Kluyveromyces lactis: one gene and its partner. The protein of the gene in region 1 interacts with the protein of each later gene in a pairwise test. Links are inferred from orthologs where the notes say so. Each region holds a gene or a part of one and is shown on either strand. Other genes may lie near its edges.

The links.
Region 2: the proteins of SRP1 (region 1) and SHE2 interact in a two-hybrid assay, tested with the Saccharomyces cerevisiae proteins (3 studies listed by BioGRID). The link is inferred for Kluyveromyces lactis from reciprocal best matches to the Saccharomyces cerevisiae genes SRP1 and SHE2.

Annotation. Positions count from the first base shown.
Region 1 is NC_006040.1:729,424-733,631, reverse strand, and holds SRP1 (karyopherin alpha), read left to right. Parts: upstream 1-1,826; coding exon 1,827-3,443; downstream 3,444-4,208. Other genes in the region: KLLA0_D08624g (uncharacterized protein), read left to right, coding at 1-250; KAR1 (Kar1p), read left to right, coding at 3,932-4,208. UniProt on the Saccharomyces cerevisiae protein: Functions in nuclear protein import as an adapter protein for importin beta nuclear receptors. Binds specifically and directly to substrates containing either a simple or bipartite NLS motif. Promotes docking of import substrates to the nuclear envelope.
Region 2 is NC_006038.1:1,092,421-1,095,158, reverse strand, and holds SHE2 (She2p), read left to right. Parts: upstream 1-1,176; coding exon 1,177-1,902; downstream 1,903-2,738. Other genes in the region: HFD1 (hexadecenal dehydrogenase), read right to left, coding at 1-920; EUC1 (Euc1p), read right to left, coding at 2,001-2,738. UniProt on the Saccharomyces cerevisiae protein: RNA-binding protein that binds specific mRNAs including the ASH1 mRNA, coding for a repressor of the HO endonuclease. Part of the mRNA localization machinery that restricts accumulation of certain proteins to the bud and in the daughter cell.

The sequences.
Region 1 (4,208 bases):
TACTGGTACTCACAGATACGGTAGATTCAACAAGACAGCTCCATCTTCTTCCCCTACATCTACTGGTACTCATAGATACGGTAGATTCAACAAGACAGCTCCTTCTTCTTCCCCTACATCTACCGGTACTCACAGATACGGTAGATTCGATAAGACTAACAACAGGGAAGCTGAAACTGCTAACGATGCTGACTTGGTTAAATTTTCCAGCTCTTTCTTGGTTGCTGGTATCGCTGCCTACTTGTTATAAGTCAACTTCCAATTGTTAACGAAATGCCAAGAAAAAAGATACTCGAAAAGTTGGCCCTCTTCTTTTATTTTCGTTAACTGTCGTTGCTATCAAACTATATCACAAAAACTTAAGGATTTTCTTTCACCTCACTTTTATCAATCTTCGTCAACCCTGTTCGCTTACATCCAACACTGGATGCATAGGAAATGATTTGATTGTTCTTTTTTATTTCGTTTTTTTTTTACTTGGTTGTTTGATTCCATGAATTACCTATATTATTCTACTACCTTACCTATGTCGTTGCTGCGTGTCGTGAATGTGTGTCGTGTGTCGTGTCGCGTGCTAACAAATTTTTTGTTTTGAGTGTAAGTGTATTGTGTTAAATTAACACAGTATATACTACTCAATCTCATCTATCTGTGTCCTAATTTGAAAATTATTCCATTTCATGAATGAAAAAAAATTGACGTTTATGAACCGTACAGCAGTGTGTGTGTTGTGAAAATTCATAATCGTCGATATTTGGAGTATATATATAACAAAAAGGAATGGAGTGCAGTAGGTGAACCGTGTTTCTTTCTTGGCGTTGAATTCTGAATCTTTCCCGCCTGTTCATTCGAGCACTCATTTATTTGTGAGGGACATTTTCAAAATGCTGCTAGAGAGAACATGTCAATAAAACATCAACTGAGCGGTTTTGTCCATTCCTTTTTCTCTCCCTCAAATCATTCCATCCATCTCCAATACCCAGTGAATGTATTTTTGATGCTTACTAAAGGGGGAAATAGAAAAAGGAACTTATGCTAGTTGATTGTATCACAATTCTTTCGCTTCTACTCTCATCAACTTACCCTCATGTATACTTTAGTGTGTGTGTATCATGAGAATGAATGAGGAACGAAAACAAGGAATCCCCGGTGATATATTTATATTACCAACCATCCCAAATATATTATGTATACGTATATACATCTCTTAATATGTGTTGAAAAGTGTGTCAAATTGACCCTGCCCATCTTTTCCTGTCTTTTGATGTTAGAACCTTTGTCGTTTTCTTACACGAGGTTGGTATGTCACGTGACAACTCCGTACATCACGACTATCTGGCAAAGAAATTTCAACCAAAAAAAAAAATTCGAATTTTTTGGATGGCCAAAAAAGAAGGATTTTAATCAAGATGGATATTATATGGGATTGAATAAAAGATTGGTTTGCATTCTACTTCAATTACACTGTTACATATATAAAACAATACGGTGCTCTTGGCTTCCGATATATTTTTCTGTCAAGCAATACAAAGAAACGAATCAGATTTTCATTTACTCAAGGGGAAACGCTATTTGTGATTGTTAGAGATTGATTTTGCGACTGATAATTTCTTCTTTAAATCCAACTTCTCTTTATTTTTGTTTGATTTGGAACCCATTTGCAAAAATATCTACTTGAAAAGACGGGACGATCAATTGTGATTGTGAGTTTGGTAGAAAGGAATTAGTTACAATCTTTTTTTTTACTTCTCTGAATTTTCTTTGGTTCGCGGCTAGCACGAAGGATCAGATAGCAGGTATCCGTTTTATTATTTTATAAGTGAAAGATGGACGGTGACACTTCCAGCAAGTTTGTTCCTGAATACAGGAGGACAAACTTCAAGAATAAGGGTAGATTCTCTGCTGATGAATTACGTCGTCGTAGAGACGTTCAACAAGTCGAGTTGAGAAAAGTCAAGAGGGATGAGGCATTAGCAAAAAGAAGAAATTTCAATGCGCCTGTTGGTAACGATTCTGATGATGAAAATGATGATGATGACGATCAGGACTCCTCTTTCTACAGACAATTACAACAGGAGTTGCCTGCTATGTTGGAACAAATCCATTCTAACGATCTACAACAACAGTTGGCTGTGACGGTCAAGTTTAGACAAGTCTTGTCTAGAGAACACAGACCACCTATCGATTTGGTTATCAGTACTGGCGTAGTGCCAACCTTGGTCCAATTCATGAGCGAAAATCAACCTGAGATGTTGCAATTGGAAGCTGCTTGGGCGTTGACGAACATTGCTTCTGGTACTTCTGAGCAGACTAGAGTCGTCGTAGATGCGGGTGCTGTGCCATTATTCATTCAATTATTATATTCAAACTCGGTTGAAGTGAAGGAACAAGCTATTTGGGCCTTGGGTAACGTTGCTGGTGATTCCACCGATTATAGAGACTACGTTTTGCAATGTGGTGCCATGCAACCAATTCTATATTTGTTCGAATTGAACAAGACTTCCTTGATTAGAACAGCTACGTGGACTTTATCTAACTTGTGTCGTGGTAAGAAACCTCAACCAGATTGGTCTATCGTGTCTCAAGCTTTGCCAACTTTGTCTAAGCTAATCTACTCCATGGATACTGAAACGTTAGTCGATGCTTGTTGGGCTATCTCATATCTTTCCGATGGCCCGGTTAATTCGATCCAAGCGGTAGTAGATGCTAGAATCCCAAAGAGACTTGTAGAACTACTATCCCACCAATCTACGTTAGTGCAAACCCCTGCTCTAAGAGCTGTAGGTAACATTGTCACAGGTAACGATTTGCAAACTCAGATCGTTATCAACTGTGGAGCCTTGGCAGCTCTAAGAAATCTATTGGCTTCTCCAAAGGAATCCATAAGAAAGGAAGCTTGTTGGACCATCTCTAATATAACCGCTGGTAATACGGAACAGATTCAAGCCGTTATTGATGCTAACTTAATTCCACCATTAATCAGATTGTTGGAAACTGCAGAATATAAGACAAAGAAAGAAGCATGTTGGGCCATCTCGAATGCCTCTTCTGGTGGGTTACACAAGCCAGAAATTATCAGATATTTGGTCAGTCAAGGCTGTATAAAACCATTGTGCGATCTATTAGAGATTGCTGATAACAGAATCATAGAGGTTACACTAGATGCTATAGAAAATATTTTGAAGATGGGTGAAATGGATAGAGAAGTCAGAGGTATTGCCGTGAACGAAAATGCTGATTTCATTGAGAAAGCTGGTGGTATGGAAAAGATCTTCAATTTACAGTCTAATGCTAACGAAAAAATTTACGAAAAGGCCTTCAAGATCATTGAAAAGTACTTTAGTGATGAAGATGATGTTGTTGATGAATCTATGGCTCCACAAACAGCTGGTAACACTTTTGGATTTGGATCAAATGTCAACCAGCAATTCAACTTCAATTAAAACCAACTCTAGCTGTGCGTGTGTCATGTAATTACATTTGCTTTTTTTATTCTAGACAATAAATGAATACTACGCGCCTGTTAAATATCATATAATTTTTGCATTAATGTAATCTATCTATAGTATTATTAATCTACACTTCTCCCTTCATTGTGAAACAGAATTCTATGTCATTAAAGGGCCCAAGTCTTATTTGCAGTTTTGAACCACGATAAAAGTAAAAACTGTGCTCAAAAAACAGTATCATGGACCTTCTCTCTGTCATAGAAATTAGGTGACCAGTTAGGTGCATATCACTTTCGGTGTTACCTCTACATGTTCCGATGCATAATATCAACATTTAAAGGTTTGGATTTTTGTAAACCTTTAAAAATACACAATCGAAATTTCCTCGGTGAAACATCGCCTATAATCACACGAAAAGGAAATATCCAATGCATATGTGCTACTTCAAAGCTCGGAGTTGAATATTACGCTGATGCGATAATATGAGTTCAATGCCTGAATTTCTCAATCTGCGGTCTCCCCAGAGAAAGATTAGTGACTCACGAATAAAACGGATCAACAAAATGTTTGACGCGAAGATTAAAGATGAGGTATCAGTTGTTTCGAACAATAGCACAAGTGTTTTGCAAGATATATGCGGGCCTTTAAATATTTCTGAGGAGGAAGATACTGTGAAGTACAAATCATCGAGTAATGTTACTACTCCGGGGTCTGTAAGCTCCAGCGAAACGTTTGATGATGAAGTTAACCCACAGTTTA
Region 2 (2,738 bases), on another chromosome or scaffold:
ATGTGAGTATATTCAGTGTCAGAGGTGACAGAAGGGTAAAACTCATTCAATACTTTCTTGCAAGAATCAACAAACTCATCGTAGATCGAGTCAGGGCATAGGACATAATCTGCGGCGACACAAATCTGACCTGCGTTCCCCATAGAACTGTAATAAATTCTTCTTATTGCAGTCTCCCATTGTGATTTAGGCAAGTTGGGGGATATAAACACTGGAGACTTCCCACCAAGTTCTAATACACATGGTGTTAGACTCTTAGCAGCCTTCTCTGCTATGATTGTCCCAACGGTCGTAGATCCAGTGTAAAATATCTTATCGAATTTACCGGATTCGACTAAAGCACTTGTTTCTTCAGCGCCACCTTGCACCGTCTCCACTTGACCCTTTTCAAACGCCTCATTACATATCTCTTCCATTACTTCAGCACATGCTGGTGTCAATTCACTAGGTTTGAACACCACGGAATTACCACCGGCGATGGCTCCAGCTAATGGATCCAATGCCAATAATATGGGGAAATTAAACGGAGAAATGACAAGAACGGTCCCCAATGCGATCTTTTCCACGAAAGTCGTACCGAACCAATGTGCAAGTAAACTAACCTTAATCTTCTTTGGTTCGATCTCTTTCTTCATGTTTTTAATCAAATAAAGGATATTGTTGTACAAGGGGACTAATTCAATAGTAAGCGTTTCACTTCTTGCCCTATGGAAATCCTTACTTGCTGCTGCAATAAGACGTTCCTCATTATCCTTCACTGCCCAGTAAAGCTTCTGCAAACTCCTGATCCTCTCATTGATATCAGTAGCCCTAGGGGACTTGCTTTGGGCTAACCTGGCTTGTCGAGACCTGTAAAACTGCTTAGCAAGCTCAATCTTGCCAGGAATCGACTTCAAATCTGTAAATTTAAACTTGGACATGTTGCACTGGTTGTTTGTCTCAACTGATGTAACAACTACCAACTTCAAAGTAAACTAAACTCTTAACTGACATTTGTGTATTGTGTTTCGGTATTTAAAGGTTTACTTCTCCAATATTCTTAGGTTCTTTAAATATTAAGGCTTTTCGGTTTTAATGTTATCCGGTGAAGACCAGCGATGGGCATGAAGAAAAAGCATTTAAAAACCGTTTAAAGGGCCCACTAACTGCTCAATTGGTTTAGTTTGACAAGTTATCATGGCTTACTGTCAAGTGGTTATCTCGAAAGAGATTCTGGATGCTGTGTTACAATTGGTTTCCACATATTCAAATTATATATCAAGATATGTGGACTATTTGAACAACCTTATCGCAGTCCAGCGTCGTGTGAGCACGCTACGTTTCGAAAGGATGACATTGATCAAGTACGTTAAGAAACTACGGTTCATGGCTGATGTTTTACACAGCTGGTCGTTTGAAGGTGAGAATGATCTTATTGGAAAACGGTTAAACGAAGTGATCGATCCATTGGGAGCATATTTAATCAAAGTGTTTGAAATATTAGACCTGTTGAACTTCTACATTACACAGCCGATGAGAGGCGAAACGATCTCTAAGACTTTGAATGAGGATTTGGTCGTTAGTGAGGAGACCATTGTTTGTATCAATGACAGCTACAGGATATATATCAAGGGAATTCAATGGTTAGTAGAATCGATCAGTGAAAGGAATGGCAACTGTCCTCACCTGGCACTAGAGTTGATTGAATTCACTAGAAAATGTGCCATTGAAGATGAGGTGGATTTCACTGCTAGCGAAGATATCTTACTGCAAGACGTTGCCATTGTGGAAGTAGAGGAAGAATACGTTGACCTGTTGCATGATTGGTCTGCGATCCTGGTGCAGAAACAAACAGAAATGAAGGAGTTGTTCTCAGAGGACTCAAAGAGATGGGCTTCAATGACTAAACCGGTCAAGAAGTAGGTGAGGGTATCCTACACGTTCGCACATATTTGTATATATATATATATAGAATATAGAATATCAAATTAAAAAGTTACATACAGTTCGTCATACAGGTCTCATGTCATGATGGAATGTTCTTCTGCCAACTGGGATGGAGTCTTCTTCTTCTGCCTGCTTTTGATTTCTCGAATACTTGGAGCGTCTTTGTTCTTCAATGATAACGAATAATCGTCATATGAATCCATATACTTAGAGAAATAGAGGTAAAGTTGTGCTAAGGTCATACAGCAGGGCGATCCGTTGTTATATCTGTTGTTACCCACGCGTAAGTTTTCAATAACGCGTACAGCTTTCCTTCTGGTGATGTCAAGCGGGAGGTTAAACCTCGAAGGTTCACGAAGAATCGTTTCTATCCTTTGTATTATTACGTACCTCTTATGGAAGAACGTTCTTTCACCTGCACTGCTTCTCCAAGTAGATCCGAACCTTCTTTCAAGAGCCATCACGGATGGCTGACCCGGTAATCCCTCGTAGTACTCCCTTGCAAGGTCAGTTACAGTCTTGATGGCTCTGTTCATACGATACCGTTGAATGAATCCATTACTACCATGAGCATTGTTACTGTCTGCCAACTGCGGTGGAACAGACCCGATTGAGCCACTGGCACTGCTGGCAACTCCTACAGTTCCAGTACCAGTACCAGCACTTTGACTCATATCATTCTCATTGCTGCCATGCAGGCTGGCAACTGCTGATTCTAAATCTTGTTCAGGAAGCACAGACCATGGATCTTGTACCTCACGCTTGATGTTCCCCTCGAGAATCCGTTTGTCTCTGTTATAACTCATAGAATC